4 linked regions of the Stegostoma tigrinum genome follow. The protein of the gene in region 1 interacts with the protein of each later gene in a pairwise test. Links are inferred from orthologs where the notes say so. Each region holds a gene or a part of one and is shown in the gene's direction. Other genes may lie near its edges. The genes, in order: lin7a, protein PALS1-like, mpp2b and protein PALS2-like.

The links.
Region 2: the proteins of lin7a (region 1) and protein PALS1-like interact in binary tests that used the Homo sapiens proteins (3 or more experiments, as listed by UniProt). The two-hybrid records come from large-scale screens. The link is inferred for Stegostoma tigrinum from reciprocal best matches to the Homo sapiens genes LIN7A and PALS1.
Region 3: the proteins of lin7a (region 1) and mpp2b interact in binary tests that used the Homo sapiens proteins (3 or more experiments, as listed by UniProt). The two-hybrid records come from large-scale screens. The link is inferred for Stegostoma tigrinum from reciprocal best matches to the Homo sapiens genes LIN7A and MPP2.
Region 4: the proteins of lin7a (region 1) and protein PALS2-like interact in binary tests that used the Homo sapiens proteins (3 or more experiments, as listed by UniProt). The link is inferred for Stegostoma tigrinum from reciprocal best matches to the Homo sapiens genes LIN7A and PALS2.

Annotation. Positions count from the first base shown.
Region 1 is NC_081371.1:40,158,669-40,165,596, reverse strand, and holds the start of lin7a (protein lin-7 homolog A), read left to right. Parts: upstream 1-3,915; 5' UTR 3,916-4,164; coding exon 4,165-4,201; intron 4,202-6,928. UniProt on the Homo sapiens protein: Plays a role in establishing and maintaining the asymmetric distribution of channels and receptors at the plasma membrane of polarized cells.
Region 2 is NC_081363.1:69,480,055-69,486,980, reverse strand, and holds the start of protein PALS1-like, read left to right. Parts: upstream 1-3,918; 5' UTR 3,919-4,194; exon of another isoform or gene 4,195-4,318; intron 4,319-6,926. UniProt on the Homo sapiens protein: Plays a role in tight junction biogenesis and in the establishment of cell polarity in epithelial cells.
Region 3 is NC_081384.1:19,032,698-19,040,193, reverse strand, and holds the start of mpp2b (MAGUK p55 subfamily member 2b), read left to right. Parts: upstream 1-4,496; 5' UTR 4,497-4,731; coding exon 4,732-4,819; intron 4,820-7,496. UniProt on the Homo sapiens protein: Postsynaptic MAGUK scaffold protein that links CADM1 cell adhesion molecules to core components of the postsynaptic density. In CA1 pyramidal neurons, required for synaptic KCNN2-containing channel function and long-term potentiation expression.
Region 4 is NC_081355.1:77,026,198-77,033,202, forward strand, and holds the start of protein PALS2-like, read left to right. Parts: upstream 1-3,987; 5' UTR 3,988-4,035; intron 4,036-4,127; exon of another isoform or gene 4,128-4,148; intron 4,149-4,347; exon of another isoform or gene 4,348-4,459; intron 4,460-7,005.

The DNA of each region.
Region 1 (6,928 bases):
GGCACAAGGCCAATATGATTAAGCAGGTGAATGTGTGGCTTAAAGATTGGTGTGGGAGAAATGGGTTTGAATTCATGGGACATTGCCACCAATACTAAAGAAGAAGGGACCTGTTCCGATGGGCCGGTCTTTACCCAAATTACGCTGGGACCAGAGTCCTAGTCAATTGCATAACTAGGGCTATTGACAGGGCTTTAAATTAAGCCGGGGGTGGGGGGGCGGGGAGCTCAGTTGTAGGGGAAATTAGAAAACACAAATTAAAGGAGGAGGTAAGAGTGCAGGTTAGCAATGTGGCGGATGGTTACCAGATAATAAAGGTATGGGACAGAATAGGTGATTGTCTTTATGCACCAAGAATTTATAAAAGATTAAGGAAATTTCACAGTAGAACAAATTTAAAAACTTTGTATCTAAATGCACAAAGCGTTTGAAACAAAATTAACGAGTTAATGGCACAAATAGAAGCAAAAGGGTACAATTTGGTTACAGTTACTGAGACATGGTTACAAGGAGACCAGGTCTAGGAATTCAGAGTACTCAACATTTCAGTGGGATAGGCTGAAAGGAAAAGGAGGTGGTGTAGCTTTGATGGTGAAGGAAGGATCAGAGCTATAATGAGAAATAACATAAGCACGGGACATCAAGATGTGGAATCAGTCTGCATTGAAATAAGAAATAGCAAAGGGAAGAACTACTTGGTAGGAGTAATCTATAGGACTCCAAACAATGTTTCAGCAGTGGGGCACAGTATAAATCAGGAAATATTAGAGGCTTGTAAGAAAGGTATGGCAATAATCATGGGTGATTTTAACATACACATAGATTGGAAGAATCAAATTGGCAAAGGTTGCATGGAGGCAGAGTTCATAGAATGTATTAGAGATTGTTTCTTTGAGCAGCATGTTGTGGAACTAACCAGGGAGCAGGCTACTCCATATTTGGTGTTGTGAATTGAGGAGAGATTAATTGATGATATGATAGTTAAGGATCCCCCTAGGGATTGGTGACCATAGTATGATCGAATTAAAAATTCAGTTTGGGGGTGAGAAAGTGCAGTCCCACATTGTAATTGAGCCCACATTCATCACTTCTTCTGGAAGTTCATTCCACATGTGAACCATCGTCCATGTAAAAAATTTACATCTCATGTCTTTTTTAAAGAGTGCAGGGAAGTGGAGTTGAAATGCCCATCAGCTATGATTTAAATGGCGGAGTGGACTTGATGGGCCGAGTGGCCTTACTTCCACTCCTAGGTTTTATGGTCTTATGGTCTTAAATCTCTCTCCTCTCACCTTAAAAATGTGTCCCCTAGTCTTGAAACCCCCCACCTTAGGGAAAAGACACCTACCATTACCTCTATCTAATTCAAGGAAGTGGCCTTGTGAAATATATATTAGGTGCAGAGGGATAAAGTGTGCATCTTGCCTGACAATTGGGTTTGTTCAGATGGAGAAAGACCAAAAGAAGAGCTATTTCACACTGTAATTCTTAGTTCAAAAAGAGGAGAGAAGCTGCTACCTGCAGTCTCAGGGAGTAGCTTCATCAACCTGTTTGCCCTCTACAACCAATGAATTGCTGTCTCCTGTCTGTGTGTTTTCCCTGACTAATTACATTATGGATAATGGGAACTGCAGATGCTGGAGATTCCAAGACAACAAAATGTGAGGCTGGATGAACACAGCAGGCCAAGCAGCATCCCAGGAGCACAAAAGCCGACGCTTCGGGCCCAGACCCTTCATGAAGGGTCTGGGCCCGAAGCGTCGGCTTTTGTGCTCCTGGGATGCTGCTTGGCCTGCTGTGTTCATCCAGCCTCACATTTTGTTGTCTTAATTACATTATGGATTTGATTTAACCCTTTGCTTAATCTTGATTAGCTTTTTAGGGTATTCTGTGAGTCCTAAACTCAACCTTAACATTCAGTAAGCTCATGGCTTTAACCATTAGTCTTGAAAATGGATGGGCAGATTGGAAAGAAGATTGAAAGAATTTAAGGAAGATTTAATGGGACAGATGGATATGAAATTATGTGATAATGCCATACTTTTATTCTTTATTCATTCACAGAACAAGGACAACACTGGTTAGGCAGCATTTATTGCCAACCCCTAATTGCCCAGGGGGCAGTTAAAAGTCAACCCTGTTGCTGTGAGTCTGGAGTCACATGTAGGCCAGGTAAGGATGGCAATTTCCTTCCCTAAAGGATGTTGGCAAACTAGATGGATTTTTCCCAACAACCAACAATGGATTCATGGTCTTCATTAGTTCTTAATTCCAGATATCTAGTGAATTTGAATTCCACTATCTACCATGATAGGATTTGGGCCCCCAAAACATTATCTGGGTCTTTGGATTAACACTCCAGTGATAATACCACTGGCCATTGCCTCCCCTTGATTTGATTGGTTACATTACATTACATTGGGCGATAAAATGTGGTTTGAATTTGCACTCCTGGACTTGAGTACAAAAATGTAGGCTGACATTCCAGTGAAGTCCCAGAAAGTTCTGCACTGTTGAACATGCCTCTCTCAGATTAGAGATTAAACAAGCCCTTTCCCAGTTGGAAATCAAATATCTTAACAATGGCATTATTTTGTGGAGCAAGGAGTTATCCATGGTGTTCAGGCCAATGTCTGTTCCTTAGTGACCATCACAAAGGTAAGTTACCTGGTTGTTATCACAATGTACACTGTAAACCCTGACAAACAGAAATCTGCTGTTTCCAATCAGCAATTACAGTTCAGAAGTATTTCATTCACAGCAAATCACTTTGGGATGTTCAGCGGTCATGAAAGGTGGTGTATAAATGGCAAACTTTAAACATAAGTCAATACATGAGTTTATTTATGACAGAGACGGATAGGTTTGTGATCAGCAAGGGAATCAACAATTACAGGGAGCAGGCAGGAGAATAGTGCTGAGAGACATACTGGCCATGATTGAAATAAAAACCGAAAGAACTGTAGATGCTGTAAATCAGGATCAAAAACAAAGTTGCTGGAAAAGCTCAGTAGGTCTGGCAGCATCTGTGAAGGAAAACGCAGAGTTAAAGTTTCAGGTTCGGTGACCATTCCTCAGAACCTCCCACCAGAGAAGGGTCACCGGACCAGAAGCATTAACTCTTTTTTTTTCTTCACAGATGCTGCCAGACCTGCTGAGCTTTTCCAGCAACTTTGTTTTTGATGGCCATGATTGAAAGATCTTCCCCTATATTTTATAAAACTAAGTTTAGATAAGTTCGATTCTGCCCACTAAAGTGCCTAAGCAATTTGCACTGCAGCTTTAAACAACTATGTGGCAGACCTACCAATTTGTTGCCAAGACGCAATATTATTAAATAATAATCCTTAAAATCAGTGCTGATGTTGCCTTGGAGAACTGCATTAACCAATTGAATAAGGATCTTCGTTGGCCTAGGGGAATGGTATCTGCGTTCTTCAGCGTTGAGTGGACATCTCATGCTTAAAGCCCTCATCTCTAAGAAAGTAGTCATTCCTTTTTTCCCCTACTAGACGTTTTGTTTTATTAAGACATTTGCCTTTATTTATTGCAGATGAAGGGGAGACCTTTTGGTAAATTCACTAAATTTAATATCTGGAAATTAGTATTTCAGATACTTTAGTTCTTCAGTCTCTCAATTCTGCCACAAACTTCAAATTTTGAACTGATTTGAATATCTGAACTTGAGGACAGTAAAGACGGCAGATGCTGGAAGCAAGCGTCAGTAAATGTGGAGCTGAGAAAGCTCAGTAGTCAGACAGCATCCGAAGAGCGGGAAAGGCAACATTTCGGACCGAACTTTCCTGCTCCTCGGATGCTGTCCGGCCAGCTGTGCTTTTCGTTGAACATCTGAACTTGTCTCTGCTGCTGCAAATTTCTAATCTTCCGGGTAATGTTGAAGTGGTAATGGCTGATACTGAACAGCGCGTCTCAGGTCTTTCGCACTTCCATTGCTACTTAGTAATGGTACGTGCCTCGTACAATCCAGCCTGAGTGAGGTGCATTGGAGGTTGGATGTGTGTGTGTGGCTGATGAACGCTGTTTGTCTCTCTCTCTCTCTCTGTGCCCCTCGTGGCTGCAGTGTGAGCCGCATCATTCCAGCCAGTGCTCCCTTTCTCACACTGCCTGCCATCTCACGCCTCCTTTTCTGAAGCTGTTGCAGACATGGCGACAACATTGCAGCCGCTTACGCTGGAAAGAGGTAAGGGAACAGTCGTAATTTATCTGCACAATCCTCCCGAGTGTTTCCTCAATCTGTGACAAAATAAAATTGTAGTTTGGAAGGCTTTTGTGGCTTGAAGTGTGATTGGTCTTTACTTTTGAGTATTTATGTTCCCTGTAGCGTTGATGGACCACAGTGACGGTTTGGAGACAGATTTACTGATGCTGGGGAGCAATTTTTTTTTCCACTGAATGTGTTAAACGCGCAGAAGCCACTGATAGATTACATTTAGCAAGACATTTTCTTTTAACGGCAATTTCCGTTTGCTGTCTGCAAGACTTGAAAAGAAACAGATCAAAGGGAATATATTCTTCGCCCTTCTCCTCTCCTCCCTCCGGACTTGAAGAGATTGCGGCTGATGGAGGACGAAGTCGTCTTTAGGAAATTATCTTGCAGTCGGTTTGTTTGATAACTGGACCGACAGTGAAAATCAGAGGGCTGGGAGGCATCGGCTTTCTCTCTAAATGCGCCCTAGACAGTTCTGTTGCGAAATCATATCCCTGCCACGTTCAGTTGTTAAAATCAAGGTTTTAATATTTAAGCTGCGATTAAATATTTCGCGGAGCTGCTTGTTATATGTAACACTTTCTGTTGCGTGTAAGGAGGAGTGTGTAGTTGCAAGGGTCGGCTGCGTGTATCAACGAGATGGATTAGGGCATATTTGAAATAGCAATTCAGGAACGAGAACAAATAACCATCAGACTTTAATTAGAGATGAAATGAAAAGAGTTCATCTGATTTGCACGCTCTTTGAAGTTGCTATTTTAGATTAGTCTCAAACTGAGAGCCCTGGCGCTCATAACTAGTTACAACTAACAGTAATGACTTGTTCATGTAACACTTCACGTTAATACAATTTTGCACTACAACAGGAACATTGTGAAGTAAAAGTTTCAAGTGGATCCACCGATGTTTGTTTCTTTTCATAGACATTAGATTAAATGACCAAAAGTTTCCTCAAAAGGTAGATTTTAAGGAAGGACCTGATGCAGTTGGAGACTTGTGGACAAGGAATTCCAGCTTTTGGTACCTCAGCAACTCAAGGCAGACATCAATGGTGGAGCATTTAAATTTGGCAAAGCTTGAAGAGGCCAGAATTAGTGAAATGTGGATATGTTGGACCATTATGGGACTCAAGGAAATCAAAGTGGGAGGGAGGGATTATGACATGAAATAATTTAGAAACAAGGGGAAAACAATAATTTCAAGGTGCCAGTTAGCCAAGAGCCGGTGCAAGTCACCAAGGACAGTTTTTGGACAAATGGTACTTGGTGCAACTAAGAATGTGGGCAGAAGATATTTTGATAGAATCAAGTTTAGAGGGTAGAACGTAGGAAGCCAGTCAAGAGTACAATAGAGTAGTGAAGACTAGGTGTGACAAACACACAAGGGATATGGGCAAATGCTAGCAGATGGCATTAGGTTAATTTAGAATATCTGGTCAGCATGGAGGAGTTGAAATGAGGGATCTGTTCTCATGACTTACATATCTATGACTCTACAAATGATGGCCTCAACAGCAGAGAAGGGGCAGTATGTTCAGAATCCAATGATTTTACTGAGGTGGAAATAGGCAGTTATAGTGATGTGAAGCCCCTAAGTGCCAAACATGCAGTTGTTAAAGTTGAGTTTGGGCAATCGGGAGGAAGAAGAATGAGGATGACAAAGGAGCAGAATTTTTGGTGGAGACATAATTGATTCAGTTTTGTAAGTACTTAATGGGAGGAAATTTTTCCTCATCCATTTCTGGATGTCATTCAAGCAGTCTATTAGTGACGAGAAAATGCAACAATTGAGCAAGTTGATAAAGTCACAGGAGGTATGTGGAAACTGGCAATGCTTTTGTGTAATGTTGCCAAAAGACAGGATATAGAGATGAAACAAGGGCCAAAGATTGATCTTGGGATGCCTAACATCCTGGAGCTCAAAGACAAGCCATTGTAAATGATTCTCTGTCAATAACTAGACAGATAGGAATGAAAGCAGTTGAGTGCAGACCCAACCATCTTGATGACTTTAGAGAGGCATTGGAAAGGATTTGTAGTCAACTATGCCTGAGTTTGCAGAGAAGTGGAGAAGAATGAGGGATATTTTACTTTTGTCTCAGACCTGCATGATGATATTTGTGACTTTGATAGGAGTAATATTGGCACACTGCTGGGAAGAATTGATTTGAGGAATTTAAACATGAAGTTCTGGAAGAGATGTGCACATTTGGGAGATGAACTAAAAGAAAGAGAATCATTTAACAATGTCAGCTAACATGAGTAAAGAATTTGAGATGGGTTACAATTTACTGGAAGTAGGGTTGAGGGAAGAAGAGCTTCATGTGAGTAAGTGGAGGAGAAGCAAATTGATAAGAAACTAAAAACAGATTCAAATTTGGGAGGGGGACATTTGACGGAGTTTCGTCAGATGGGCTGGGGAAGGATTGGCAGTAGCAGATTAACTTAATTTCAGTGACAAGGAAGTCCGCAAATTCCACATACACATGGGTAAGACTGGAAGAAATAGGGCTTTCACAAGTTTGTTTGTGGAAGAACAAAGAAGTTGTGGTTTATCTTTGCACTCTGCAATAGATGATGGTGGTTTATATGGCCCAGCCAGATCTGGCAGTGAATGAATGTAATGAGAGAAAACCTTTTGCGCACAATGAGTGGGTCAGGACTGGAATACACTGCCTGGAATTGTGGTGAAAACAGGTTT
Region 2 (6,926 bases), on another chromosome or scaffold:
TTTTCATACATTAGTGGCCTCAAGTTACAAATTGGGATTGTAGAAGCTCCAATATCCTGTTCCACACATGGCTGACCCGGAATTTCTCCCTGATACTCACATTGTTTGGCCACATTGTGAACATGACTCCATTGACCACCTAGTCCTGAATGAGGGATAAACCCAGTGCTTCCAGCTCTGAGGCAGGATAACTAATCACTGCATCATTGACACCTCCCCACATGTTGCTATGGAATAAGAAGAATCAAATAATGCATCTTGTAAGATGTATTAAATACAACTATTTATATTCATTTTAAAGCAAGGAGAATTAAATGTTAGAACATAGAACATAACAGCACAGTACAGGCCCTTTGGCCCTCGATGTTGTGCCAACCTGTCATACCGATCTCAAACCCATCTAACCTACACTATTCCATGTACGTCCATATGCTTGTCCAAATGTTGTCAAATGTTTTCAGAACAATGAATGATGTTTAAATGGGCAAGGTGCTATTTCACAGTTTTATATCTGGAATAATCCTAGATTCAAGTTAGACTAGCTTCAGAACAAAATACTCTCCACACAAAGGCTTTGTATATTCCCAACACAAATGGAAGTTGCTGGAAAAACTCAGCAAGCCTGGCAGCATCTGTGAAGAGAAAATCAGAGTTAATGTTTTGGATCCAATCACCCTTCCTCAGAAGGTTCACCAGATTTGAAACATTAACTCTGATTTTCTCTTCACAGATGTTGCCAGACCTGCTGAGCTCTTCCAGCAACTTGTCCCTGATTTACAGCATCTGCAGTTCTTTTGGTTTTTATTTTGAATATTCCCAAATATTTATTAGGTTTGAAATAATAATAAATTAATTCTGTTTGAATTGATTTATTTCATTTTGAGTATCAATGAAGATCTGACCCATATTTTGGAAGCAGAAACTTTAGTAGTGAAAGAAAACTTCAGAGATGCCCAAAGTTTCAGATGAGGCAAACCAAATCCTCCAAAAACACTCAATTTTATATAAAAACAGAATAGTTATATTCTGTTATTATAGGCATGCTGGATAAAATAAACATTGTCTTCTTGTTTACAACAACAGGACTTTTATAAAAGCAAAAATACTGTAGTGCTGGAAAACAGATAAAAACAGAAAGTGCTGGAGAAACTTAGTGGGTCTGGCAGGATCTGTAGAGAGAGAAAGAGAGTTCATATTTTGAGTTCAGTTTGACTCTTCTTTAGACTTTTATTTGGTATTTGTGTTTCCCAGGTATTTTCCTGTGTGACTGTTTTTGGCATCCTGCTAAACTCAGTGAGAATTTGAGGTGAGGTGCATGAGAGCTGATGTGGGATGGGTGTGTCGGGATGGGGTTAAGGCATCACAACATATGCATCTAATTTAAAATTGCTTTTTAAAAGCCTCACATTTAATTCAGTGGTATTCCATGGGCTCTATTTTACTTCCTTAATTCATAATTTAGTGAGGAAATGGAGGATGGTTAGATGAAAATTAAACGTGTGATAACTTGAGCACAAGTATCGTAGGCTGGTGGTAATATAGTGTTTTTAATATAGCACGTTTACTCAATACATATTTTGAATATTAACATTATAATAGTTATAATAGCCTACGTTAAGAACAACTATCGATTTTAAATCTTTGCAATTTACAATTGTCTTACTTGATAAACATGCTAAATTTTGTCTGTGTCCTTGGTTGGTAAAAATTCGATTCGGAGAAGGGCAGATTTCCATAATCCGGGTAAAATGCGAATTATCTTTAGAAGTGGACTCTTTCTGAAGGGTCTAGGTCCGAAACGTCAACCTTCCTGCTCCTCTGATGCTGCTTGGCCAGCTGTGTTCATCCAGCTCTACACCTCGTTATCTTTTCACAAAACCAGTTGGGCAGGGAATTGTGGCGCTACGGCCCCTATCTCTGGGCCAGAATATGCCGCTTCGAGGGCCACCTGCTCCAGAACAGGTTGATTAAAGATATCTGTCAAACTGTTTATCGGGGAGCAGAAAACACGTAACTGCAAAGGAAGGGAGACTGCGCGGTGGAAAAGACAGTTGGACTCGCTTAAATTATTTTTTTTCTTATTCTTATGAATGGCGCTCTCAAGGTACCCACTTTTCACTGTAGTTTTACACCGAATACACGTGACAATAAATGATTCAATGATTCAAGACAAAACTTGTTACCCATCGTTCGAGACTGTGTGACAGACCTTGCACAAATCTTCGTCGCTAGTCTTAAATACAGTCCATCAAACCGGTGATAGCAGAGAACAGTTAAAGAAAGTAGGGTTATACCTTCAACTACACACACGGAAAATTGGATATTAGAATTTGGTCTTAATGCTTGTTATGCCCCCGAGATGCGTATAATTTTCACGTATCTTTGAAGATATCACGCTTACATGCATCTTCACAGGAACGGATTCTGTGTCCATGAAAAACGACAGGATAGTAACAACTTTTCACTCGCCAAGCGTGCGATCCACAATGTTTTTTTTTCTAAATCTCCAAAATCAGGGAGCTATTTAACAACCTAAGTCAACTTCGTCTATAAAATTTCACACGCCGATTCATAAACTCGCCAATAGCCTGTGCATTCTACAGCATTTTGGACTCGCTTTCATTTTTTAAAAGTTCGTCAAGGCCTACAATTAGCAGCGTCATTAGCTTATCGGAAGATGTAGCCAAACACTCAGAACCAGGGCGGGGGAAGTGGATTGTGACAAGTAATGTGGTTGGTAGGCACCAAACTGAAAACAGATGGGCGTGTATCACAACATTGCGCGATAGCGGGAGGGCAGCAAATCATTTACCCAAATCAGCTCATTGCACTAATTGCAGCAGAGTCTGGAAACTTGGCTGTATTTGAGGCAGATATTGATTCTGAGAATATTTTGTTGATACGAAACCTCCACCTCAGTTGTTTGCAATAATATTTGCCTTTGGTATTCAAGACACGGTGAAGTTATTTGTGGGAATGTTGGAATTAGTTTGTTCTCCCTGACGTCAACGCAAAATGTTGCGGATGCTGGAAATCTGAAATAAAAACAGAAAGTGTTCGAGTTCCCGAAGTAAACGGGACTCGAAACATTCACGTCCCTACAGCCAGATCCGAGTTTCTTCAGCATTTCATATCCTGAGTTTAGCCTTTCTGAGATAACAAGGTGTGGAGCTGCATGAATACAGCAGGCCAAGCAGCATGTTTAGCCTTTCTGATATGACTATCGACCAAGAGCAGCCCAAGCACTCTTGTCTTTCGCAGACGTCCCGCTGAAGTTGACCGTGTTCGGTATTAAGGTCGGGCATGGCATTTTTGTTCAGGCCTCAAACTGAGGCAACCTGTGATCTTTCCAGGGATACTTGGAATTGAGAATTGACACTAGTTTCTGTTTTTTTTCTTGCACCATGTAGCGATTCACCAGTGGAGGGGGATGGGGTGGAAATAAAGGAGTCGCCCGGCAAGACCGCGAAATAGTTTCAGAAAAGTGTTGAGAAGGCTGGCTCCAGTCCCAGGAAGGGATAAGCGGAGGTGCTGGGGTAGATCTGCTTTGCTTCAAGTCTGCAAGAAGACTGCGACAGTCAGGTGTTGTGATTTCCAAAGCTCCCTGAACTAACCCGATCCGATCGAGCCCCTCCTCCTCCTTTCTCCCCTCCGCCGCTGGGATCGCATTGCAAAATAAAACATTCCTGGCGCAGCTCGGGCTTTCACCTTTGTCTCCAGTGAGTGCGCGCGCGCGGCCGGGCTTAAGTTGGAGCAGGCATGCGCGCGCGCGGCCGGGCCTAAGTTGGAGCAGGCATGCGCGCGCATCCATTTCTCCCACACCCACCTCCACTTTCCCTTCACCCGAAACTCAACGAGCTTGTACCTCCCTCTTCCGAAGGGGGCGAGGTTGAGGAGCCCTCGCGAGCGACTGCGCGCACACGCACGGGTCGCGTCCTCAGCCAGGCACAGAGTCCGTTTATTTTTACTCCTCCCTACCCCCGCCCTCCCCCAAGAAAGAACGCACCGCTCGCGGCCGGAGGCAGTTGGAATCCTCCATTCGAGGTGAGGAGGTGTCGAACAAAACAAATCCAACAACCACCCCCGGCAAACACACAGAGTAAGGGGGCTCCGATCGTGAAGCTCCTTCGCTCACAGCCGAGTGTCTGATCTCAGACACCGGCATCAAGCCCGGCTCTCTTTCTCCGTCAACAGGTTAGTGGGTATCAACCGCCAGAAGGAGCTTTCGGCCGTTTTATTCACCCCCCGCCAAGGCGCAAGTTTGTATCGAGAGGAGCCTTTCACTTGGCTTGGGAGTCCGGCCTAGTTTGGGAAAGAGGTGAGAATCGGGTTGGCAAAGGAGAAGAAAAGGCAGGCGGCACGGGGTGGTGGAGGGAGGAAGAGTCGGGCTGGAAAAAAAGTTACTAGGAAATGTTTTTAGCATAAGGTCGAGTCCACGTAGCCTTCTCCCTCTGGTGCCGAAGGAACTCGTCTCAGAGGAAAGAAAAGGCAGGCTATTTTAGCTCTGTATTACTGGGTTTTGGGTGTGTTGGATTCTCCTTTATTTGTCACCGCCCGAGCCTTCGCATCTAATTTACATCCTCCCCGGCAAAGAAGGGAAACTAATTCCCATCTCTGGCCTCTAACCTTCTCAGTTAGGTCCAGCCGTCATGAAATTTTAACCAAGTCTTGTTTTCTAAACAAGTGTAGACAAAAACGAAGTTTGGCATTGTTGCGCGGTGGGATTGTTGGAATATCCTGGGTAGTTGCAGTTGTGGTGGAGATGGGCAGAGTGGTGCTTCTGGATGTTGTGCTGGTTCACAAGGTTAGACTGAAAATAATTCACAGCAGCGTCAATGCTGCATGATTTCGCCAGAATTAAAATGCAGTAATTCCACAAGAGATGTCCTTCCAGTTTAGAAACTCCAATTCAGCTTTCGGCAATTGGGTGCCCGGGGCGGGTGCTTTCGGTGTGAAGGTGGGTTGGGTGCGGAATAGAAACTTTGCTGGACGAGGGAAAAGAAGGGCAATTTAAAGTTAGTTGGATAGCTATAGTTTTAAACATTAAAATGAAACTCGGAAAGGACACCTCATGGACTAATTTACGATTCAAAATACCACTGATAACAAAGCCAAATGTGAAAAGCGTAACGATAAACTTAGAAACTAACAGGGACAAGGAGAAAATAAGCGTAAGTCAACGGTCTTTTATGACTATCATAAACAATGACAGGACGATCAAAGGCAGGATTTGGCGATTGAGGACCAGAAAGATCGACTTGAACTGGCAGAGAGCACGACTAAGGCAATTTACAAGTATTTGCATCTGTTTGTTAAAAATAAGAGACTGTGGTTTTAGAATCAAAATATATAAAAAGACGTATTTAAAAGCAAGCAGTTCTCGAAAAAAGAACAGCTACATCGTCCAGATGGGATGCCTGCCATATTATTGACCGAGGTACAGGTGGAAATTACAAACGCTGTAGTCGTAATCTCTCAATTTTGTATGCTGTGGGGCACTACCAAAGGATTTAACATGTTTAAAGTGGGATAAAGCAGCAATTATGGGCTAATTAGGTTAGCATCAAAAGAAGCTTTTAGCACCAATAATCTGGACAAAATTAAGTGATGTTTGGATCAATATTGAGTAATCATTTGAAGTCTGGATTTGTTAAAGCAGGTTATGTTTGACTTATTTGTCAAGTTCTTCACAGTAAAAGACTATTGTGATGATGAACATGATTGTGTGTGTTTTCAGAAATTCCTTGTTACTGAATTGATAGACCACGGGGTTTGGGGAAATCTGGCAACATGGATATAAAGTTTAAGTGAAGAAAGTAAACAGTAGTGGTTAATGGAGTAGTAACAAAGTTGGAAATACTCAGTGGATCCTGCAGCATCTTTATAAAGAGAAACTGTTAATGTTTCAGGTCAATGACTTTTCCTCATTAAAGATGAATGCTGTTTCAGGCTGGAGGGATGTACGCATTAGGATCACTGATCTTTTTGCTATTGATTAGCCTAGATTTGGTACAGCAGATATAATTTTAAAGTTTGTGTTGTACAGAGCTTGGAAATGTAGTAATTAATGAGGCGAGAAACAAGACTTCAAGGTGACTGAAGTGCACTAGCAAATGATTGATGACCTATAAATTAAGAGAAGTTTGAAATGATATGTTTTACAATCAATGATGACAGGCCAGATGAACTAAAATGTGCACATGTTAAAATTGGTATAGGAATGTATACAAATTGCTACAGGTCGTAGGATGAGATGCCAAGGCTTTATTTGATGGTGAGTTGTTGTGATCCAGAATGTTTTCTGAAGTGATAATAGAAACAGAATCGTAAATTTGAAAGTGAATTGAATAAACACTCAAAGGAAAATAATTACAAGACTGTGGGGTGTGACATTAACTGGACAGTTCTACCAAAGAGCCAGGCACTGACCTGATTCAGTCATTCTATAACTTATGGTCTGACAATGGATTTTGAGATTGAATGAAACTGGTACTTTTTTTCCCCCCTAAGTATATAACTTAGAGTTTGAATAAGAGAGATGCATCTTAGAATGAAATTTATTTTGAAACTCCTAAGTTTCTTCAAAGTTTAAGATGTAAGTTTATTTTTACTTTTCCATGTGATCTATTTTGTGCTATTTGTACTGACAATGCAGTTTTGTGTCTGCAGTTACAATACTACTGCTAGGAATTAGCTGTGTGAGTTGAGACAATGGTGATGAGCTGGCTTTGCAAAACAGAAGTTCATTATGGAATTTAAGGTGAAGTTGAACAGCAGCACTTAATTGGAGTTGTTGGATTCTTGGAACCATGTGCTATGGCTCATTCAGCTATTTGAATTACTATTTATTTCACTGTAACTATTGTAATAATACTGTGTTAGGTATGTGCTGATCCAGCACGTGAACTTAAGATCAAGTTTTCAGT
Region 3 (7,496 bases), on another chromosome or scaffold:
CTGGACAAGGTGGATAATATGATAGTATTCCTGATGGCAGAAGGCTCAAGACCCAAAAGACACTGAATAAAAATGTTAGGTGTAAAAGCAACAATGGCATGAGGAAGATCCTGTTTACACTGAGTACTTAGGAACAAGATGCTCCTGAGATGCTGCTTGGCCTGCTGTGTTCATCCAGCTTCACACTTTGTTATCTTGGATTCTCCAGCATCTGCAGTTCCCATTATCACTGCCTGAAACTATGTTGGAAGCAGGTTCATTTGAGACTTTCAAATTATCTTTTCTAATTATCTGAAGGTAAGAAATTTGAGGGCTATGTGGAGGGTGGAGGATGGAAATAGTAGGAGAGTGGGACTATATGAGTTACTGTTGCAGAGGACTAATATAGGCATGAGAGGACTGAATGTCCTCTTACTGTTTTGTGACTAAATGCCATTATTTTAAAAAAACAAAACCCATAGAAGACCAAGTAGAGAATAAGAACAAATGTGAAAACACCAATAATCTACAAATCATGTTTGCAGATAGCTTGAGGATACATTTGCTGGGTAGAGGTGGGCTTTCTGATGCAATGGAAAATAATTTGTTGAGTTGCTATATTTTAGTTGTTGTGGATAAAATAAATTAATAGAATGTGAAATAGATAAAGTGTAGAAAATAAAATGAATATAACTGAGAAAACTAAGGCATATGTTACATTTTTTTGTAGTATGGCTTAAAAGGGCAATGTAAGTTAAAATAAATAGCAGTCAATATGCATAAATTGGAATTTGCATATATAGTGTATGTAGAATTTTTATAAAGCAAATATTTTCCTCTATATGAATCTTTGTATGAGCTATTTTCTAGATGGATGTAATGACATTTTATCATTTTATATTTGTGGCCATCAGTTGCTTTTGGTTGAAAAGCTGCTCTGTATTTGTGCAAGTACGGAGGTGGGAAATTATTTATGTGGGTTTCTTTTTAATGGGAATAAGCTGTGTTGGAGTTGGATGCATGAGAGCCAGTGAGAGAAGATGGGCAATTGAAGGTTGAAAAACCAGAGGTAAAGACATTAGGGAAGGAATGAATGGAAAGAATAGGCTTTCACAGAGGGTAATGGTGGCAGTGAGTGGTTGAACTTTGGATGGGTAGAGATGAAACATAGGGGGAAAAATAACTAGTGAAAGGAAAGTTGCAGGTTTACAGCACAGAATGTGATGACTTTGCCTGTTATGTGCATGCCAACCAAAAATGTAAATAAAAACTGAAAGAGCGACAGATGCTGTAAATCAGAAACAAAAACAGAAGTTGCTGGACCAGCGCGGCAGGTCTGGCAGCATCTGTGAAGAGAAATCGGAGTTAATGTTTCGGGCCCAGTGCCCTTTCCTCAGAACTGATGGTAGCTAGGAAAGTGACAGTTTATATGCAGAATATAGAGTTGGGGGAGGTTTTCAGGAGTGATAGTTGGGGTTAGAGCCCAAAGAGAGAGAACAACAGTTGGACAGACAAAGGACTGCATAACAATCTGCCTGGGAGGGTGAATAGCTGTTAATGGAGGCATTTAGGGTAGCAATAGGTAGTGTGTAATGGCAGGCTATAAGATAAGAAGGCCTGCCGCAAAGACCGTTCCCTTTGGGACACCCTAGTCCACTCTTCCTTCACTCCCAACATCCTACCCCCCACCCGCCACCACCCACAGCCCCACGGTACCTTCCCCTGCAACTGGCTAAGGTGTAACACCTGCCCATTTGCCTCCTCCCTCCCCAGTATCCACAGGCCCAAACATACCTTTCAGGTGAAGCAGTGCTTTACCTGTACTTCTCACAATCTAGTCGACTGCATTCGCTGCTTACAATGTGATCTCCTCTACACTGGGAAAACAAAAAGCAGACTGGGTGACCACTTCACAGACCATCAATGTTCTGCCCGCCAAAAATATCCTGAGCTTCCAGTTTTCTGCCACTTTAACATACCATCCTGTTTTCTGGCCAACATCTCTATCTCAGGCTTACTGTAGTGTTCCAGTGAAGCTCAGCGCAAGCTGGAAGAGCAGCAGCTCATTTTCTATTTGAGGACCCTGCAGCCCTCCAGACTCAATATCAAGCTCAATAATCTTAGGGCCTAAACTATCCCATGTCCTAGCCCCTCACCCCATACACCAGGCCTTGTTATCACATCATCTGCCATTACATATATCTATTCTTACCCACTAACTGTCCCCTTCGCAAGCTGTTCTCCTTTAGGTTGGTATCCACCTAAGCCCACATTCCAGCTTATGCTCCATTGCCTTGTGACTTTTGGCACTTCAAATACATGTCAAAGTGCTTTAAAAAAGAATGTCCTTCCCGTAGATTGGCAATGGACAGTGAGTGGTATCCATGGCATTAAGTTCCAGACCTGAAGCATCCTCTGAAAAGAATCCCTCTCAAATTCTTCCATAGCTCTTAGTATTTACCTTCAAACTATGCCCTTAGTTCTGAAACACTCAACCAAGGAAAACATCGACCTGTTTTATCCCATAATTTTGTGAGTCCTCACATAACTTTATACATGATTAGGTCTCCCCTCAGGCTCCAGTTTCAAAGAAAACAATACGAGCCTATCCAATAGTTCCTTGGAGCAAAAACCCTCCAGTTCAAGAAACAGTCTATAATTCTCATCCAAACCCTACCTGATGCAAACCCATCTTCCCTATAGTGCAATGACCAAAATGTAAGAAAGAAAATAATGATATTTACACACTGGAAAATTAAGTCCTAAGGTCTAGGAGAATGGAAGAATCCTTTTAGTTGTGCGGGAACCCATTAAGCACATAGGGATTGTTTCTAAGGCATGGAAGGATTATGTACAGGCATCATATAACATGTTAGTGTGAGGTGACATCCTGATATCTGGATGGTGGTGATGGAAGGAGATTATTAATGTGGCAGTGATTGGAAGATGGCGTAAAGATATTGGGAATGGAGGGATCCAGGAATGATAGAGTGTTTTGATGATTTTAAAGCAACTGAGGGTCACAATTCTGGGAAATTTGGAATATATATTTAATAAAGTCAAGGTTTATAGGGCAGTATTGTAGTTCCCAATTTTTACAATTGGTGAGAAGGAAGCTGAGAGATTGAGAGTACAAGGAGAAACATGCTAATGTCCAGGTACATTGAGATGTTAGTTTCACTGTCTGGGAATAATGGGAGGTATTTCTCAGGGAGAGGTTGGTAAGGGAAAGCAGTGCAGGAGGATTAAGAAAGCAGGTTTTAAGGTTCTGGAAGACAGTAGAGAAGAAACTTGAGGTGTAGGAGTGTTGGACAGCTTAAAGGTACCTACATTGAAGAGGCTGTGATGAGACAGTATGAAGACAGTGTGAATGTATTGAAGAAGTGGCCCAGGCGAATGTGAGTCAAACCTCTTAAAGGGCCATTAGCTGTTGTGGTACTGTTGAACCCAATGGGACACAGTGTCATACATAGATCCTAATATATGTCACATTTGTGTCCCATCAGTGAGCTGCTTGTTTGAGATTTGCACAAATGACAAAACAAGTACTTTCTCTATTTGTCATAAAATGTTTCAAACAGAATAGCTGCTGTCCTCCCCAATATTTTACAAAGTTAATTGTTAATCATCATGAAGTTCTGAGAATGACAGGAGGTCAATAATGTACATCTAATTATCATTTGGGCCCCAAGCAAAGGCAGGACCATGAGGATTTTCCTCATTAACCTCATACCAGAGATTATATTTAGACATACTTTTTGCAATTTTGAGATTTATTTCTCTCCAAATGTTTTGCCTTTTATAATATTTTGCATCATCATATTTCTTGAAGTCTTTTTACTTTGTTAAGCCACTAAAGGTATTTATCCCACAGACCATCAAAAAATTTCTTCTCATGTGGTTTTTAATCAATGAGGGGAATAGTCAATTAATTTCTGCCATACCAATAACAAGCAGGAAAATCTGATGCCCTTTTCCATTAAGCTGTTTGGGATATCAGGAACATGGTGAAATTGAGAGGGAGGGAGAAATTTAATGATCTGAACCGATTACTAGCTGAAACTGATAGAAGGGGAGAAAAAGTAGGAAAGGATAAACAGCCAACCTTTTCATGGGAAGGAACAAAAACAACTTTTCTAGCTGCCTAAAAGTGACTAAGAAGTTACATTTCATTCATGGATAAATAATGACGTGGCTTTAGTCCAAGAAGCTTTTGGGCTTTAACTTGTACTATCTCAGGTTGAAAGAAGTCAACATTGTGGTGTTCAGGCCCTGTCAGAGCTCATGTGCAGGAATTAAAATAAAATACATATGATTGGTACTCTAAGGGTTACTTAAGTTACTGAAGAAAGAACACAATTCATAGTCTATCAAATTACTCTGGGTGGCATGCTGCAGGGAAGGAACCTGTGTAACAAGTATACAATAGAAGCGAAAGTGGTTTGTCTCAACTGCATCAACTATCAGCATTGCTTCCCATTTGTGGAATTGGGTCAGTTAGAGTTTGTGTGTGTGTACAAAGGCAGGGTTTGGAGTACGGACCTGGTCAGAAACCACCGACGGGGACCTTAAGCACGGCAAGCTGTTTGCTCATTCAAACGTAAAACGTATCGGACTCTCCTCTCATTGATGAACTCTGCAAGAGCTGGTTAGCATGTAGTGTGCTTGACGTGCTAAAGTAGAAAAGGGGCCAGGGTTCCTGTGTAGGCAGCAGAGGCACAAAAGCATTGTACAGCTTAATTAAAGCCCAGCATGGATAATAGTCAGTCACACACAACCTCATTAGAAGTGGATTCTTCAGCATCATTTGAAACAAACAGGTCAAACCAGAGTGACGGAGGTAAGATTTGTCTAAGAAATGAGTGATTTAGATCACAATTATGATTAGACTTTTTGCTGTAATGACAATGTAGTTTTTGTTTGCAAATATGTGGTATCAGTAAGGCTCATACATTACTTTCAATGTGCAGCACTCATTTAATTCTTCAGCGTGTTATGTAAAACAATAAAGCAGAAATGGAAGCTTTGTTCTGAGTGTCTATGCATATTTTGTTGGATTTACTTGAACAATTATCCCTCGGTTTTTTTCTACACTTTGCTATTTATTGCTGATTTTTAGATGATAAACAGAGCAGTATTAGTACAGGAAAAGCAAAGAATACTTGGAAAAATACTGTTTGAGATAATTCTGTTTAATTACAGAATCTGTTATCATATGTGGGTACGGGGATAGGCTGATGCTAACTTGTCATGACATTATTACAAAGAATTGAGAGTGTAAAATATTTTACCTTTTAATGTTCATGTCATCGCAGAAAGCTTTGGAGGAGCCAAGTGACACATATCCCATGAGTGAACAGAGACTGAATTTCAATCAGTTTGCTGCTATCTGAGCATTAATTAAATATGAACTAACTGTTTGAGTTACCCTTTCTGAGACCAAAATCATTTCTAGGTGCAGCTTGTTGATTTTATTTTTCTGTAACATGTTTTGCAGAATTACAGCATTGAGTGCAAATTCATTTGTTCTGTAATCTGGAAATTGCTATCTTTAAAAGCTAGTTAGACCATTTGCAACCATCTTTAGCCAGAAATGCTGAATGGATGATCCATCTCTGCCACCTCTTGATGCCCTCAGCATCACAGAAACCTGACTTCAACCAAACTGATTCCATTCACCTATTATCAAGAAACTACTGAACCCACTGAATTCTGCGAAGGCTACGTATGGGCCCTAACAGCTACACAGCTGAGCTGTTGAGGGTGTGTACCAGAGAATGAGCCAAGTCTGTAGTCTGTAGGTTGTTCCAGTACTGCCACCCACAAAATGAATATTACCAACATTCCCATGGGGACAAGAAGTCTGACAAAGCCAATCCAATTAATTACTACCCCATCAGAGTTAATAGGGTGAAACTGTCCCTGCTTGCAACAGGATCGAGAACCAGAGGGCACAGCTTTATTGTTTCCAATTTTACAACAGCCTTTCAGAAACACCCTCAGTTAAGTGCTATGTCACATTTGGCATTCAGTTCATTTGACCAAGCCCAAGATCTAGGGTCAGTGGTCCTAGGTGGCTTCAAACCAAGCAACAGTGATCACCAATTCTTGGTGAATTTGTGTCAGTTCGAAGTCACATGACATGAGGTTATAGCCCAACAGGTTTATTTGAAATTACAAGCTTTCGGAGCATTGCTCCTTCATCAGGTGAAATGGAGGAAGTGCACAGGCACAGAATATATAGGCAGAGAGATAGTGGCAAGATAATTCCAGGTAATTAAGAGTGTCAACAGATAGGCACAAATTGTGTGAGTAGTGTGTCAACAGACTGAATAGCAAGTCTTTGCAGGTGCACCATGTTATTCTGTGTTTATAAAAATCTTCCTTACTGTTCTGTTTTGACACCACCATCTTGATAACTTATTATTATCTCTCTACCTTAATTAGTTTGTACAGTTTTGGCTTACTTGTTACTTTGATTAGACCCTCGTCATGCAACTCTGATAGCCATCATGTTATTCCAGCCATTTGATCTGTCTCTAGCACCATCTTATTTTTGATATTTTGTAGTTATCTCTCTGCCTTAATTAATCACTTCATAGGTGATCCCTTCACTTACTATTCAGCTGTGTATTTGTGTCATTTTGACACTTTTGATCCCCTGCAAAGACTTGTTGTTCAGCCTGTTGACACTCCACTCACACTACTTGTACCTATCTGTTGATACACTTAAATACCTGGAATTATTTGTCATTATCTCTCTGCCTATATGTTTTTTACCTGCGCACTTCCTTCTACTTCACCTGATGAGGAGCAGCGCTCCAAAAGCTTACGATTTCACATAAACCTGTTGGATTATAACCTGATGTCATATGACTTCTAACTTTGTCCACCGCAGTCCAGGATATATGAGGAGCCTCGCAGTGAGTGGAGTCCAGAATTGGCATGGTGAGGGTAGAGAAGGCAAGTGGCTGGGTGCATGGGATGTAGGGGTGCAGGGGTTCAAGGCTAGATGGCCTAAAATCTCCCTCACCTCTTCAGGTCCTACTAGCATCTGTTTCCAGGATTAGGAAGCTTACTTTCATTCCATACGCACCACCTCCATTCCCAAAAGTCTTGAACTTCCAGACCATTTTTACCAAGACAAGTTGGTAACTGCCTGCCTCTCCAACCAAAATCCAATGCTATGTTATGTAAACAGATCAATTTACATTTGGAGCTCCTTTGAGAAGGCTTTGTGTTGTCAGATATAAAGATCAAAATGAGCAAACTCTGTTCAACTGGCAAGCTCTCAAGTTTGGAGGAGCTGAGAGCTATTTCATGATCTTCCAGTTGGATGAATTTAAGTGAATCATCAAAGGAAAGACAACTTGCCTTTTCACAAAGTTTATACTGAGCCAGGTTTGCAAGGTTTCTATGGACTATAAGCAAGTACTTACTGATTCTGAACGTAGCAATAAGTGTTACTCTGATCACTGAGATATAGCATGATAAATTATTTTCCAGCATGCTTACAA
Region 4 (7,005 bases), on another chromosome or scaffold:
AAATCATTAATAGTGTGCCAATTTGTTTGGATTTTGGGATGGCTGGTTGAAATAGTTCAATAACAAGGCTCCACTGGACTGACCTAAAATCTGTTGTGGATTCATTGACACTTTGTCTAAGATCAACATCATCTGCTTTGGGACTTCCCACAGAGAAGAAAGTACTGATCTGGAGCTTTTGTTGCTTTGAATGGAGATTTGAGTCTGTTCTGTACCTTTGGAACTTTTTCTTCTGTAACGCCCATCTATATACTTGCTTTGGTCATTTGACAGCAATGAAGGGCACTGCAAGGTGCAGGGACTGCTTAGCTGATGCAACACAGCTGTCACATTGCAGTATATCACACTTCAAGTATTTTAAGAATTTAAAATATTTAGGCTTTCTTCTCAAATCTCTTGCCTCGTAATTCTTCAAAGAAAAAATTCATGTCCCCACTACTGTCACCATATTTTAGTATAGATTTGTCTGATCTGATAATCTCTGGCCAAATCTCAAGATGTTTCTTCAAACAGTATTTATTAACATGGTATTCATGGTGATCTTTCAGTAGAAATCCTATCTCCAATATACTCTAAATTTAAATCTGCAATTTCATCCGTGTCTGCGTTTATTTTCATAATTCTTAATAATTTTGCCTAACGAATGAAAATTGATCTGTTTTAGTTCCAAGCTTTTCAATTAACTGATAACATCAACAACTTCTCAGAGCAGAATTCAAGATTTCACTATTGTTTGTGTGAAAATCAGCTTTCAGACATTACCACAAATAATGTAGCTCTACTTTTAAGGCAATGTCCATTTATTCTGAACTTTCCACCAGAGGAAATAATTTCTCTCTGTCTACACTATCAAATCTTTTAATCATCTTAAACATCCGAATTAGATCAGGCCTTAATCTTCGATATTCAGAGGAATAAAAGCTTAGGCTCTGCAACCTGTTCTCATAATGTAACCCTTTCAGCCCTGGTATCACTCTGGTGAATCCACACTGTAACCCCTCCAAGGCTTCTGATATGCAACACCCAAAACTGAACACAGTTCTCCAGGCAACGTCCAGCCAGAGCTCTAAACAGCTATAATTCTCCCCTTTTTGCAATCCAGTCTTCTCAAACTAAAGGCTAATATTCCATTCATTTTGAAAAGTTTTTTTTGTGCCCTGTAATTCACTCCAAACTGACCTAATATTCTATTTTGTCATCTATCAGGCATTGGGATCCCAATAAATGATTCGCTATGTAGGAGTACCTCTAATTTCTTTGGGAATTGGAAACGAAAATCTGAGGTTGCGTGCAACAGTCACGATCTGCCTGAGTCCACATTTGATATTAACCTAGAAAGATATAGCGTTCTGTGTATTATTTGAACTCGTTGCTACTCAAATTCTGGCTGCATTTCAGTGTTTTTTGGCTATCCAGAGTAACGTGAAACAGGCATTACAGAGGATCTTCTTGCAGAGATTTCCAGATCATTGATACAATGGTCACATTGATATAGATACAAGTCCAAGCAGCCGTAGGTCCAAGGGGCCAATCAGCCTGACAGTCCATCTTTTCCTTGGCCATATCCATGAAGAATGATCATGCAGTGTATGTTTGAAGCCTGTTATGATCATTGAGTACAAAAGACACAGGAATTCAGAATCAACAGCAGGAACAATACTTTAATTTGGTGAGTTTCCTTTTGTTTCATTCATAATGTTGCTTCAGAACAGGGGAAAGATTTAAATTTGCTATCTTGATTTCTTTTGCCATCCTTTCAAGCATTTCACGTGGATGAGAAGCTGAGAACATAAGAAATAGGAGTGGGAGTAGGCCATCTGGCCCATTGAGCCTTCTCTGTCATTCAATAAGATCATTCCTGTTCTGTTTGTGGATTCAGTTCCATTAACCTGCCCACTCACCATAACCCTTAATTACTTTACTGTTCAAAAATCTATTTTTCCCTTAAAAACACTTCAACAAAGTAGCCTCAACTGCATCACTGGGCAGGAAATTCCACTGATTCACAACTATTTGTGTGAAGAAGTTCTCCTCAACTCAGTCCTAAATCTGCTCCCCCTTATTTTGAGGCTTTGTCCCCTGGTTCCAGTTTCACTCACCGGGGGAAACATCCTCCCTACTTCTATCTTACCTATTTCCTTCATATTTTTAACATTTCTGTAAGATTCCCTCCTCATTCTTCTAAATTCCAATAAGCATAGTCCCAGTCTACTCATTATTTCCTCATAAGCCAACACTCTCAATTCTGGAATCAACCTAGTAAACCTCTTCTGCAACCCCTGCACTGCTAGTACATCCTTTCTCAAGTGAGACCAAAACTGCAGACAGTACTCCTGGCACGGTCTCTCCAGCATCCTATACAGCTGCAGCATAACATCTTTGTTTTAAACTCCATCCCCCTTGCAATGAAGGAAAACATTTCATTTGCCTTCATTACCTGCTACACCTGCAAATCAACCTTTTGTGATTCATGCAAAAGGACACCCAGGTGAAAGTTTTCACCATTTATTTAATAGTCCACTTTGTTGTTATTCCTACCACAACAGATGACTTCACGAGCACCTAATTATCTTTGATCTTTCCACTCTAAAGGGAAAGCAATGCAATAAATGATTGGAAATGCTGTTGGATGCCTTTTGAGGACTTGATTGGTGGAAAGGATGAGTCAAAAGGGCAAATATTTAGGATAGGTTATAATGTATTGCTATAAAGTTAACAAAATTTATTATTAATCATGGAGCACTTGTAAAACAGCGATTGTGTCCCAATTTCTAAGCCAGGCAGCCTGAGTTCAAGTACAATCTGTTCCTGAAGTGTGTAATATAATCACTGAACAACTTGACTAAACAATATGTTATTGATCATGCAACTATTAAAACTCTTGAAACTCAATTAGGTAAATCTTGGAATGAGAAAAAAAGTGCTGAAAAGTTCTGACTGTATCAGGAAAAGAAGCCAGAGTTAATGTTGAGTCGGACATAGCTCTTAACTTCTGAAGAATTGTGCGTTTTAGAACATTAATTGTTTCGTAGGCTTGCAGACCAGGAGGGTAGTTTCAGTATTTTATTTTTATTGCAGATTCTCAACTTCTGCAGTATTTTGCTTTTATTTCAGATAAACATTCCTCTTCTTCGCCTAGCAATTCCGACGTAATCTGTAACTTTGTCAAAGATCATTTTAAACTAAATTAGTTCAAAGGGAACACACTATTACAGTAATGGGCAGATTGCTTCAGTACAATGGCAACCTTCGTGGGGTTGGGTCATTACTAGATGCCCTATTAAGTTCTGCCTAAAAGGGGCAGCTTCCTTTCCTTTAGAATTTCAAAGAATTAACCCCATTCAGCTCGTTTTCCAAAAGGTATCAGTTGGAAGTCAGGTTAAGGAGTGACCCTCTGGAAAATCAGTTTTGTTCTTGTTGTTATGCAAGAGTTAGACTGCAAAGGCAAAAAAATTGAGAAGCCAACCAAATACGAGAAAAGTGGCTATATCAAAGCTGAGCAGACCCGAAACATGTAGTCTATTTCGTTCTTTTCACAGATATTTCTGAAATCAGCCCGAGCCGTTCCCAGAAAGAAAACCCTGCGAGCGAGGCTCCACTACAACAAGAAGCCGTTCCACTGAGAAGTGGATGGGCATGGCTCGGACTCCAAGCCTAGGTTCACCAGTGGAGCGCGCGCGTACACACCGTCCATCACTCGCTGTCCGGGCCGCCTGCATGGCGCATGCGGCCTGTGTTCCTCACCTCCCCTCCCATCCCGCGCGGAGGAGGGGGGGGGGTGGGGGAGGCAGCACGTGACCCTTTGGTCCACCTCCTCCTCCTCGCCATCTTCTGTCAAAGCGAAGTTTCGGCTTCCGAGTGGAATTCTGCCGCCCGCCGTGTTCCGCTCGTGGAAGGCGCGAGCCTCCCATTGGAACGCGCCGATTGTCTCATTCGTTCGGCCCCCAGCTCCTGCGTTGTATTGGTGCGCGCGCGCTCTCTGTGGAAGGAGAGGGAGGGAGATCGAGAAGGGGAGCTGCTTGTAGCCAGATACAGGTTTGTGCTTTTTACACTTGTGTGGAACCAACCACCCCCTCACCTTCATTTAATGTTGCTTTTATTTTTCTTTGCTGTATTGACAAGAGGATTTTTACACAAAGTAAATAATGGTAAGTGAAGTAAGGTGGTTTGACTGACTGTGAAAGTTAGTAGCGCACCTCCAGGGTAATGTCTGCTGCTCCGAATTGTGATTCGGCCGAATGTGTTCTAATTGCTTTATACCTTTTTGTGATCGCCTTGCACGGTTACGTGCAGTGCACAGTTAGCAATACTCGTCCGTCACTAGGGTAGTGGAGGGAGTGTGTGCGGCAATTCTTAGGCGCGCTTCTTCATTGAGGAAATGGATTGCGCTGCATCTCTGAACATCATCCGTGAGGGTTGGGAATGGACACACGTGTAAAATCCAAGCTAATGTTAATTTGTGAGTTGCCTGCTTTTATACTTCCTATAATATCATACGAAGTGCTTAGGCCTTGTCTTTCTATGTATTTAGTGTGCATTTCTGATTTCGCAGCACGAGTATTTGGTCATGTATTCAAAAAATGATCCAAGCACACTTTGGTTGTTTTACCAGGTGACCATATGTAGTAAAATTGCTTTCTGATGAAGGGCATTTTGCAAATTTTACTGTTGAGGTGAGGTTTCTGTGTATTGAAAAAAAACATATTTCACGAATTCGGAAGAAGTGTTACTATTTTGTTCGTAATTGTGTTGAATGATGTTCCTGCCCCGTTGTACACAACAGAATGTCGAGAAGAAAATTCGCAAAATCCTTGCAGTAGGCATTTTGAACTTGAACTTGCTAATTAGGTTATATTGGTGATCAAATTTACATAAAAGTGAAATTACTCCCTCAAACCGAGATATTCCCACCTGTCCAATCCCAGAGCACTCTCTTGCACTTAAACTTATTTTATCTTGTGGCTTGCCCTGTTTGAATTTTATGGACCAAAGTTGTTTGAAAAGATTGTTTTTAACATTGTAACATTTTTTCCTCTGTAAATGGGGAAATGTCCAAGGCCTTGTCTGAACATGTATTTTGACCTCTTATTGACACTTCTGTAGAATAGATAGAACTGGAACCTGGGTCCGCTGGTCCATTGTTAGGGGCTCTAATGCTGTGCAACAAGAGCTGTCCAAAATCGATGTAGACTACATCAAATGAGCTACCTTAATGACCGTTCCTTGTTAACTTACTCAAAAAAAGCAATCAAATTTGTCAGGTTGACCTTAGCATCAGTGCTTAACTGATGTTGGTTAATCTGTACCTTCAAAGTGATGACTAATATTGTCCATCATTTTTGTAGTAACTTTCTTACCACTTAAGCTTGGCTGACTGGCCTATGCAATTATGTACTTTCTCTCTTTATAAACAAAAAGAGGCTGTAGTCTTACCAGGCCAGAGGCTGCTCTGTCTTTAGCAAGAGAGGTGACTGGTGGTGGTTTAACCTGAGGGTCACTACACCTCAGGTGAGGGCAGAGGTTGAGAAGGAGAGTCCATCATAGCAACCTCAGTCTGTGCCGGTATTGAAACTGTTAGCAGCATCACTGTGCATTGCAAACCTGCTGTCTAGCCAACTGAGCTTTGTAAACAATGATATAGCATGAGCAGCTGCCAAACCTGTGCCACCAAATGAAATGGTTACTTTTTGACCCCTCTGTTCTAATATTTTCCTTTTAACATTCTTGTTCTTTATTTATAAAATCATTTTGGGTCACACTATTACTTCCCACTCTCTCTGTGGCTTTTCTTTCTTTCTTTCCTAATTTTGTTTTTACCTGCCTCTACTTTCTTTATATCTGGGCTCATCTATACTACTAGGCTTCTGCAATTTTTGGGTTTTTGTCTGACATCTTGATATTCAAGTTTGAGTCAAAGAACAATAACAAAGTGGAAGTATGTTCTATTGAGTGCCACTTAACTGCACAAGACAAATGCACACACAACATCCAACTTGAGTGTAAGAACAGACAGGCTCAGAAGCAGTGAGGACATTTAATTTTTAACACTCCCTTTTTGAATGGCATGGAGCTAGAAAGAGGTGCACCTGTGATTCTTTACTTGTTGTAATAATAGATTGCATTCTGAGCTCTTTGTCTGATTAAAGGCAGATTGGCCGTATTCAGATCTTTGCCATTACTTTCTTTAGTGAACTGCTGAAAGTGTGCAAGAGTGATATTCCTGATTGGAGAAAACTCAATGTGCACATTTTAAAGCACTACAGCCTTTTCCTGGCAGTTATTGACTTGACATAGTAATGATTAAGGATTGAGAGGGGTAGGGCATGAAAATGAACTGTGTATCACTACATTCTTTAATGCTTCTAAATAAAATATTACCAAACCAGTTTAGGGTTCTTTTTTGCAAATATCAAGTCCAAGGGAGAAAATGGTATTAATAAACTGAAAGAATTGCATGTTAAATTATTTGAGATTTGATTTTCTTTTGAAATCATACAGAGTTGTTGAATCCCCATTTGTGGCAAATTGATGCTTTTTTTTTAAGAACGACACAGTACTGACTTGTGTTAAAGTTACAGCCAATGGACATGTGTGGTTGTCACTCACTAGGCATTGATTTGTTATCCATCCCTAACTGGGTGTGAAAGAATCAACCACATTATGTTAGTTAGAAGTCACGTTTTGTCATTTCACAATTTTTGTTTATCAGAATAAAGTTCCGTTGTTGGATTTCTAGTGACCTGTAAGCTGAAAAGTCACTTGCTAAATGATACAAGAAAAAAATTCATTGTTTGATATCTACTGTGCTCAAATTATCACTAGGAGCTTGTAAATGACAACATATTTAGATATGCAGATATGTAAAGCAGTGAAATCAACTTGATTTTGGAGAAAATTGCTCCTGAAATTTTTTTGGTGCCTCTAGAATGACAGGATGTGATCTGAACGTCTTGATGTTGTTGAGCTGGATGTGTCAGTTTTAGGAAAACTGTTGAGGGGCATGAG